2 linked regions of the Nothobranchius furzeri genome follow. Each later gene encodes a partner of the first gene's protein in a complex. Links are inferred from orthologs where the notes say so. Each region holds a gene or a part of one and is shown on either strand. Other genes may lie near its edges.

Region 1 (5,895 bases):
CAAACCTCAGGAAGAAAATTCTCCGCTGAGTTTAGTGTTTCTCAAGAGGGAGAGAAGATAGAAAGTTAACAGACGGACAGAAATTACGAGCACTCGCAGACAGCAAGTAAAAAGATCAAGTTCTTGATTCTGAAGGGAAAAAACTGTTTTTAAGGAAGAATAGGTGTCAGTGAGTCTTTTCGCCATGGCCAACGTTATTTTATTTATCTGTTTGTGGTGAGAGATGGGCCAAACCTCTCAGTGCAACCAGGTAACAGGTGAGGGGGCCTGCGGCATTTAAAATCCCTCAGGAAGTACCACGCAGCTTTCCCTACTTGCTGATATGAGTGAATGATGCGAGATTCCATCTACGTTTATAACTTTATTAACTCCACTCTGCATGGCCCACGTGAGCGTAAATCTGCTACGTAGTGAATTTATTTACGTTAACACGACGTACGTTTTATCTACCGGACAAAAACAAATTACCGTACTACGGTGAAAAGATGATGTATAGCCAACCCTAGATGGATTTTAAATGATTTAGCATGGATTATAAATGTGTTATTAATACAAGTGTTTGTGTGTCATTTGAGACGTGTAGCTCTCAACTGATTTTTTGTAAATATTTTACCAAAAGAAAAATATTAAAATATATTAGAAATATCAAGCCCAAACAGAAATGATGTCATCTGCTAATCAAAACCTCTCCAATTACAAAAACCCACCTAAAATGTTCAAGCAAGACCCCAAAAATGAGCTTAAATATTTGCTAAATATTCAATTTTACTCAAACTCTTCCAGAAACTCCCTCCTTGTGATCTCCACACACCCACCAAAGCGATAAAGCGCCAAGGAGGCAAAGAGGGGAAAAGAAATTAAATAAGAAAAGCAGAAAAAAAATAAAGTGTAAAAGAAAAGAGGCGCTGGAGTCAAGAGGGATGGAGCAAGTTGTTGATCTCATGATCAGTCGCAGCAGGGAGAGAGCAGAGCTGGTCCAAATGTGAGAGAAAAATCTTAATATCTGTCGGTTAACCCGCAGCTTAATGATCTCTCTACTGTAGCATCAACACGTCTGACAGACGAGAAAAAAGATGGTGATCATTATGTTACGATGACTAAAGACACGGAAACAGATGACAGGGACTCAGGCGGACAGCCGAGTGCCGCTGATACTCAACAGTGTGGACGCCATGATGGTGTGATGCAAAGGAGAGGAGAAACAAGTGGGACAGACAAACATGCATCAAGCAATAATGAGGAAATGGAAGGGGGGGGGGGGGGCACGCAAGAGGAAAAGAGCTAGAGAGAGAGAAGAACGATGAAGAGGCTTTGCTTTTGGTTTGAGGCTTTTAGGCTGGAAAGTCAGACTCTGTAAAGAGAGGAGAGGGAGGGAGGGAGGCGGCAGTGCCTGACAGGACTTACTCTTCACCCCCTTTTTCCCCTTGCGCTCCTTTTTGTACTGCTCCTTGAGTTCGGTTATCAGGACCGGGTCCACGTCCCAGGTCTCAGAAATGGGACCTTGCTTGTCCTTTTCTAAACAAGGGGGAGAAAACCAGACCGAGAGGCTGTTGAGGAAGCGCCCCGGTCGAGAACAGATGGGCCTGGCAGAGCAGACACCTCTCAGGGGTTTTACTCCTCTGGACGTCGCGCTGCTCTCAAACCCTCCAGAGGAGTAAAAGTGTTCTTAAATACTGGGAGCGGAGCCGGCAGGTGTCTTCTCTCTCCATACGCGTCGGTGTCGAGAGACAAATTAAGTTGTTTAAATTTTAAACACCTGAACAGGTCGGGGTTTGGTCAGAGGAGACACGAGGCAGGAGACACATTGTGGACACAAACAGGATATGGGGACAAACAGACAAACTATGAGTTAAACGCTCCTGGTGTCGTGATTTATGACCACAGCATGAAAAATGAATGACGACTTCTCCATGATCGGCTCCAAAAACAAGAATACAACATCTTAAGATCATTTTATGAAGTATCTGAACTTATCGTCCAAGAGGAGCTAAATAATCTAACTGCATCCATAATAAATAAATAGTACATCAAGACATTTAGACTCACCCCAGTCTGTGCCGTCTCCAGTCCCTCTGGACTCTGACGAGGTGTCCGTCTCGTCGGGGCTGGACAGGAAGTCAAAGCCTTTCAGCGCCTCCTCGGCGTCAGGGTCCTCACTGGTGTCCATACTGGCTGGTGATGATGACGAAGGAGGTTTCTTCCTCATGATCTAAAAATGATAAGAAAAGATTTTTTTTTTGGGGGGGGGGGGGGGGGCACGATTGTGTCAGTTCAGAAGGGCGAGGGGAGACGAGTGTCTTACAGTCCTGGATTCCACATTAGTCCTCTCCTTCCCCTCACTGTCCTCCTCCTCATCTTCATCGCTGAACTCAGCCGCTGCGTTTTCAATGAATTTGAAGGCCTCCAGGACGGCGCTAGTGTCGGAGAGCTCAGCTTTCCTGAAGGGGGACGTTTACGACTGGTTAGATTAACAACGTGTCCAGGATTTATCCAGTACCCGTTTCTAATGGACCAAGGTTCATCTGAAAGGCCTGAAATGTTCCTGGAATATTTCTGCTGGCGATGAAACGATACAAATATAACTCAGGATCATTTTTTGTCAATAGATACACAAGAACAGGTCGATGCAGTTTGTAGAACAGATGAGTAGCAAGTGGTAGTAAGAGCTGCTCTGCGTTGGACCAATCATGTGGCTGGAATGGAGCCGTGCAGCTCGGTAGCAGCTGGACGCGCTAACAGCTAATGTTTGAGCAGGGCAGGACTTTTGTCAAAAAAGGAAAAATTTGTGTCCAGAAATAAAATAAAAAAAAGACAGAAGACACAGCGGATGACATCAGTTGTGTGGACGCGTTTAAGCTTTTTAAACATGAAAATATGCCTTTCAAATTATGCTCATTGCATATTTGGAGAGCGAAGCCTCTTATCGCCCCTGTTTTTATGTTCAAATACAGTGATCGTTCGCTACTTCGCGGTTCGTTTATCGCGGATTCACGACTTCGCGGATTTTTTCTTTGGAGCCTTATTCAAGGGAAATTCGCCGATTCGCGGTATTTTCTATGCGAAATATCAAGAAATTCCTGTTTTTTTTTTCATCAAAAAATGCACTTTTTGTAATAAAACTATAAAAAACCAAGTAAAAAAAATTTCTATGTAAAGGGAGGGTTTTAAAAGTCTGAATACTGAATACGTACCTGTTAAATAAATACTGTAAATATGGTGTCCCTACTTCGCGGATTTTTTCTTTGGAGCCTTATTCAAGGGAAATTCGCCGATTCGCGGTATTTTCTATGCGAAATATCAAGAAATTCCTGTTTTTTTTCATCAAAAAATGCACTTTTTGTAATAAAACTATAAAAAACCAAGTTAAAAAATTTTCTATGTAAAGGGAGGGTTTTAAAAGTCTGAATACTGAATACGTACCTGTTAAATAAATACTGTAAATATGGTGTCCCTACTTCGCGGATTTTCACCTATCGCGGCCAGGTCTGGAACGCATCTACCGCGATAAACGAGGGATCACTGTACTTCAACAAAGGTTTTCTACCTCTACTAGAAACATGAATCTGGTAATGACGGACTTTGCTCTAATGCTAACAACCGGAACCTAAAGCATTATCTAGCATCCCTAAAGAAATAACTCTCACAAAGAAACCATCATTTCAGCTTCAACACACTTTTAAGCTGAGGACACCTACCCTGGTGTGCCGATGCCCTTAGTCGTTGAGTCTGTTCCGTTGACCGAAGGCTCCGTGTTCATCCGTTCACCCGTTTTCCCGCCTCCGTCTCCGGCAAGTCCCAGCAGAGCTCGGACCCGCTGGGACTTCACATCCAGGATGGTGTCTGTGTAGCCGACCTCCTGCAGGTACCTGCAACGGGGTGAACTAGATTACCAGCAGGCAGTGAAGTGGTGGTCGCACGCTTGGTTACACCTGCAACTCGTGTTGTTTCTGACCAAGACCCAGTGGATGACTTTTAGACAGCAGCCGTTAGATATACACCTACAACTGAACATGGTGATAATTTTATGGATACTAAGCTAGGTGTGCTAGTAGCTGAGAGACATTTACAACACGAACTCTGAGTGCTAACCGACGGTACAAGGTCAGCACCGTGTGACATCATTTAAAAACACGATTAGACCAACAAAGATCCACAGCTTTCCTGTTGAGGTATGTGGGTACACGGCTTCGGGTAGCGCCACAGAGCCATCAAGGTAAACCAGCCAATCAGCATGCAGCTCCTTTCTGCCACCATCCCGAGCCGTCTTTAACATAGTGTGTTAGGGTATGATGTGATTGTGCTTGGCGATGACGTCACTTTATTTAAACAGACAGACTGGAGAGCAGGACCACAGAAATGACTCCGACTCCGTGGTAACAGCAGCAGCCGTCCATGTGAGGGTGCTGCTCACCACAGCTTTTACCCTTTCTGCTCACAGAACCACTGGCCTCACAGTCCGTTTCACAAACTCTACAAGAAGCGAGGACGTTAGCCTGCCAACACGCTGGTATTTCTATTTAACAGATTCAGGAGGTTGTCCGGAGTAAAGCGTCAGCTTTAAATAAAAGAGCTCACTGTCTGAGGAGCTGCCGGCCTTGTTTCCAGGACAGCTGATTGTTGAGTGATCCAGAAGTCTCGTTTTCGTTGGCCTCATCTGAAGGAGAAGAGGAGGACACAAATCAGCACACCCACCCAACACTAAGTAAACAAGGACATTCCTGCATCACCATGGCCTGGAAACTAAACACAGTCTTAACACCTGAGTGGAGTCGAACGACAGTTACAGTCAGGCAGTCGCTCTAAAGCTTTAATCGTTGAAGTTAAACCTGGAATCACTACTGCTTTCTGTGGAAGAGCCTTCCTATGTTAAAACGAGACGTGTCATTCCTGAGCTTGTCTTCTGACACACACGTGGTTGATCTTTGCTCCACTGTGTCCTGTGACACGGTGAAAAGACACCACACAACCTTTGGACCTCTAATTCTAAGCTTGCTTTGATATTTAGAAACTGTCTGCTCACAGAGGACCCGAAGGGGGTCGATCTGGTGAGATGGAGAAATGAAGATGCCTTCAAAGTGGGTCATAGCTGGTTCAGAGAGGGTGATGGGGAGGCAGGTGAGCCGCGCTCTCCCTCCTCCTTCACCTTCCCTAATTCATCAACACTTCAAGGGTTCTGCGTTTAGAAAAGCTCTCATGAATAGAAATGAGGAGAGAGGAGAGCAAATAAAATGAGAACTGGAGCATTACTACAGTCATATAATAAGAAGCAGGTACTCTGCAGACGACAGAGGGAGACAAAAAAAAACTACTGTTATGGAAGCACCGAACACATGAGCATGAGAAGAATATATTATAACCACTATCTGTTATCTGAGTAGTTATCTCTCAGGGATCTGGCTGCTGATGACTCAGAAAAACTAAAATGTGAGCAAAAAAAAAAAAGCTAAATTTTTACTCTGACTCTGAACTGGTTTGAATAAGACTTATGCAAAAAGGTATGTGTGCAAATATTCATTCAATTCAAAATTCAAACATACTTTATTAATCCCAGAGGGAAATTCAATAGTTTCAGTACAATTGTTTTCAGTATGCAAATGTTCTTGCTGTGCTTAAATCACACAGGGTCTTAATTCTTTCTTATTTAAACCCAAAGTTGTTTCTCGCCGTTGCTGACCTGCAGAAACTAAACCAAAACGGATTCTGGGTGCTTGGAACAAAGTCTGACTATTCTGTCAGTATCTTAACCATTTCATGCTCAGTGGGGTGGTGGAGAGCTGGTGAATACCTCCAGCAGTCAACGGGCGAAAAGCAGGGGACACCTTGGACAGGTCTGACGCTACAACTGCAGTCGCTATGGCAACTCTGTCTCCTACCCCAGCCTGGGCGGGACCGCGG
Region 2 (4,697 bases), on another chromosome or scaffold:
GGAGGGGCGACTGGACCTTTACAGAAACCGATGTGTGGGGGGGCTATAATTAAAAACTGTTACTGAGAACTCACATTGGCATATGATCTGACTCAAGTGCTGCTGAACAAACGTACAAACATTTACATCAAACTAAACGGAGGCTACTGCTGCTGACGGACTGCTGGGTCAGACTTTCTGGTGTGGATTGGACAAAAAATGTACAAAATAAGAGGGAAAAAAGGTATAAAAATAAAGTAAGGCACATTATGGTATTTTCAATCATCCAGACCATTTTATTTAAAAATTTAGTTTCAAACTAAACCTGTGGGGAGGGGGGAATCCTCAAACAGCAGCAGTGAGGCTATAAAATATAGTGTATATATTACAATGCTAGTGTGTGTGTTGGGATGTGTGTGTGTGTGTGTGTGTGTGTGTGTGTGTGTGTGTGTGTGTGTGTGTGTGTGTGGAGAGAGGAGACATCGCACAGCAAATCTCCTGTTTTCTTCATCCAGCAGTGCCCCCATATGAAGACCATCTCTTCCTACTTTCCTTTTAAACTGTCCTTCAGTTTGTCGTGTATCTGAAATAAACCAGAGTTCAGGAGAAAGCATGATGAGATGATATCAACTCGGCTCCACGCGAGGCCAAAAGTGTTACGACCCGTCTAGGGGCAGCTGGGCCGTAACAAAGGTTTGGTTCAGGGGCGGCGTTAGGCCCGGCTACTTGGGCTGAAGCCCCGGATCTTTCATGATAAGCCCCGGATCTAAATCGCGGAAGTAACATGCAGTACCAAAGTCACACAGAGAGGGCGCAGCTGGCAGTAGTTTGTAAAGTCCCATTTAGTCGTCACACACACAGGTGTGTGGTGAAATTTATTCTCCGATTTTGACCCATCCCCTGAGTTGCAGACACGCCGCGCTCGGGAACTATTTGGTGGTTTAACCCCCCCAATCCAACCCCGATCCAATGCTGAGTGTCAAGCAGGGAGGCATTGGGTCCCATTTTTCTCAAAATCTTTGGTATGACCCGACCAGGAGTCGAACCCCTGATCTCCCGATCTCAGGGTAGACACTCTACCACTAGGCTACTTAGTCAGTATACAGTTTACCTGAGACTGAAGAGAAGCCCTTCAGCAGCTGGCTTCTGCAGTCTCTGTCTGAAACGCATGAGTGAAGATGGATATAAGGACGTTTTTTTAGACCAAAAGTACAACGACAGAACCCCAGCTCTGATGAGACTGGTGTTGACTCAGGTTTGTGAGTCTTATTTGAAAATATTTGTTGTGCTGCTGGTTTGCCTAAAGTTAGCTTACTATCAGGTAAAGTTGTTGGAGAAAGAAAGGGAATATTCACTATCATCTCACACTAAACACTAACAGGAACAATACTCTGCCCTGAATATGCTGAATATGTAGCTTCAGATTAAACATTATGTGGTACAAGACAAATATATATGATGTTGACTAGTGCGTGTCACGTGTGTGCGCGCATGCGTGTGTGTGCGTGCGCGCGCGCGCGTGTGTGTGCGCGTGCGCGCGCGTGTGTGTGCGCGCGCGTGTGTGTTAAGCCCCGGATCTTCTTCAGTCCTAAATCCGCCCCTGGTTTGGTTTACCATTCACTGCAGATTCCAAGCAACCACACCTGAAGGACTACTTACAAAGATTTATTTACAATATTTACAAATACATTAAGGACTCAATCATTTAACTAAGGGCAAGGGAGGATTAAAAGCTCAGGGTGAACCATGGGCCTAAAATAAACAAAACACCTCTAACTTAAATCACCCAGCAGACCTACAAAAGAAATGAACCAAATGACAACCAAACATACTTCCCTGACTAACCAATACAGGAGAAAACGGTTTCATTCTACTAAAACACACACGTATGTGAACATGTTTGCATTTGTGCAATACCAGATGTACATTAGTATATCTGTGTCCCTTATGCTGCACAGGTTTGGAAACCCAAGTTTTTTTTATTTGTTGTTTTTAGTGGTTGAATGTTACAATAATAACTTATAGCTTTTGTGTGTTTACCTGTAATTTTGTAACTATTTTTCTTCTTTTTCTCCAAATGTATGTGATGCTGCAGCAAATGTATTTCCCCACTGTGGGATTTATGAAGTCTATTCTATTCTCACCATTTACACAGCTCTCGACAAGGCGTCTGCCAGAACGTTGTCCTTACCCTTCTCACATCTAATCTGCAAGTTAAAATCCTGCAGAAACAAATTCCACCTCATTAAATATTGGTTGAAGTTTTGCATCTGAAAGATAAAAACTAATGGGTGGTGATCTGTGAAAACCTTTTAGGCTGAGGAGGGGTAATCTGGCTTTAAATTTTAACCCAGTTTTCTTCTGTTTTTATTTGTCAGGGAGGTTAGTTCGGTCATCAGTTGGTTCATTTCTTTTGTAGGTCCACCGAGTATGTTACGGCCTGGCCGCTCCTAGACGGGTCATAACATAATTGGGGGCTCATCCGGGATATGAACCCGGGACCTCTCGCACCCAAAGCGAGAATCAAAACTCCTAGACCAAGCAGCAGGCTGGAGATGTAGTCTCTGTTCTGTTGTCTCCTAGACCGCCTTTGTCTTAATCTCTTTTAGCCAATCTGTGCTCTTTGTCCAAGCGGTTCACCGATTAGTGGTTTGCCGAGTAGAGGTTATTTTGTTTAGCCATTTTTGTTGCTGCTAATGAGTCCATTTGTTTTAATTAGTCTCTGTTAATTTGTGTAAATAACTTTAAATGAGTTCACCAAATAAAAGTTAAATCAATATATTCTGGTACCTGGCAATGATGTGAGCAACCATCTGGTCCGTGATGCCCGGACACACCTCTTCAGCCAATCGGATGTTGCGTTCTAGCTCTTCAATAGCCAATCGCTGCTCAGAGTGCTCCTTGTGCTGCTGCTTCAACTACAGAAGAGGTGGAATTAGAACTTTACTGAAACAACCACTTAAATCTGGGAAAACCACCCAAAACATTAAAAACATAGGTAAAAATAAGGAATAATAAAGATAGGAAGGATAATAGGAATTTAATGCGTGTGTGTATGTGTTTGTGTCTACACACCTCAGTGAAGACAGGAGACATGACTGTGGTCAGACTGGCAGATTTACTCAGCTGAGCCTGAGCCTGTTTCACATCAGCAGCAGAAAAAAAGAGAAACTTTAGTAAATTCATCATCATCATCATCATGAACACATCTGGAGTTCTACACTCTGCTTTAATGTTTAGTAAAACATCTGTAGGTTTATCGAAAATACAAAAAACAATCAGAGGAACATTTAAATTCATAATTTTGTAGAGATAAAATAGATGACACCAGAAATAACTTTGCTCTCTGTTAAAAGTCTGATTTAAAACAAACAAACAAACAGAGCTCCTTTCTTCAGACTGCACTAACCGTTCCGTTGAGGACCTTCCTGCCCTCTGGTTTCTTCTTACGGACGGTGGTGAACGACCACTCAGGACTCTCGTTGTTTTCTTTATCATGCTCACTTCACACAAGAATACAAGTCTTACTGTTTAACGCACACGGACATCTTCCAACCCAAACGAACACACATTTAAAAACTCACCTGTCTGAGTCGGAGCTGCTGTCGCTGTGCCCCTCCTCCTTCCACCTCCTGTACCTGTCGATCAGCTCGCTGAGGTAAGACGTCCTCTTGCAGTTTCTCACGATGAATTTGTGTTTGAGCAGCTCCTTGGCTGTGGGACGCTGTGAGACAGGACACAGGTTTACTGAGACTGACGCATAAACTCTTCAAACACCGTGGAAAGTGGAAAAGTTCATCATTTGAAACTTTTTTTTACATTTATGTATAAAAATGAGCTATTAGATAAACAAATTTTTCAGAAAATGGGGAAAGAAAATGCTGGTGAGTCCACTAGGTGGCAGCAACACATCACTGTGTCAAATGTCATAAAACCCAAGGAAGTAGCAGAAAAATGAACAATCTGAGCCCAAAAAGTCCTTAAAAGCCTGACTAATAAAATACCTTAGTAAACAAAACAAAACAACAACAATAACACTGACAGCATACCCAATAAAGCTGCTGTTTTTATTGAAATTTTATTTTAAACGACTGTTTTAACAGAATTACTTAACTCTACATCTTTCTGCAAACAGGTGAATATATCTGGCATAAAAGGGGCGGGGCTTAACTAGTAAAGCTGAATAACGAGAACATCTGGAACATCAGCATAAAATCATATCAGCTGAAGACAGAAGCCTCGCTTCAGAAGCTCAGAAAACAAAGTTGACTAGTTGGTCTTACAAAGGACGGGTCCTTGTTGAGGCAGGCCTCTGTGAACTCTTTAAAGCTCTTGGAGAAGTCTCCGATTAGCGTCGGAGGAGGAGATTTGGGAATGTGGAAGAGGACTCGCATCGGATGCATGTCGGAGTTGGGAGGTTCACCTTTGGCGAGCTCAATGGCGGTGATGCCCAGAGACCAGATGTCCGCCTGCCGGGGGACAGAAAAAAACCACACAATTCTGTTGGGTTCAGCTTAAAGACAACTTTAATGTTTTATTTAGAACTCCACAAATCCAGAGGTGGTTTGATGATTCTGATCTTATTCTGAGACATGGCGAAGTGTTAATGAAAGAGTTAATGTCTGAAAAATGATTCATATACAACAAAACAGCTTTTCGTAGTGGTTGATCATGGGAACCTGTTTTTATTTTAAAGGTAATAAAATGGTCCCAGAGTA

The links. Proteins that work in one complex are often made in the same cells at the same time.
Region 2: striatin (region 1) and stk26 share a complex: the UniProt entries of both Homo sapiens proteins name them as parts of the core of STRIPAK complex. The link is inferred for Nothobranchius furzeri from reciprocal best matches to the Homo sapiens genes STRN and STK26.

Annotation. Positions count from the first base shown.
Region 1 is NC_091752.1:1,682,093-1,687,987, forward strand, and holds part of striatin, read right to left. Parts: intron 4,655-5,895; coding exon 4,576-4,654; intron 3,867-4,575; coding exon 3,696-3,866; intron 2,439-3,695; coding exon 2,303-2,438; intron 2,210-2,302; coding exon 2,047-2,209; intron 1,516-2,046; coding exon 1,405-1,515; intron 1-1,404. UniProt on the Homo sapiens protein: Calmodulin-binding scaffolding protein which is the center of the striatin-interacting phosphatase and kinase (STRIPAK) complexes.
Region 2 is NC_091742.1:86,850,700-86,855,396, reverse strand, and holds part of stk26 (serine/threonine-protein kinase 26), read right to left. Parts: intron 4,449-4,697; coding exon 4,263-4,448; intron 3,704-4,262; coding exon 3,564-3,703; intron 3,483-3,563; coding exon 3,389-3,482; intron 3,118-3,388; coding exon 3,055-3,117; intron 2,898-3,054; coding exon 2,770-2,897; intron 563-2,769; coding exon 547-562; 3' UTR 1-546. UniProt on the Homo sapiens protein: Serine/threonine-protein kinase that acts as a mediator of cell growth. Modulates apoptosis. In association with STK24 negatively regulates Golgi reorientation in polarized cell migration upon RHO activation.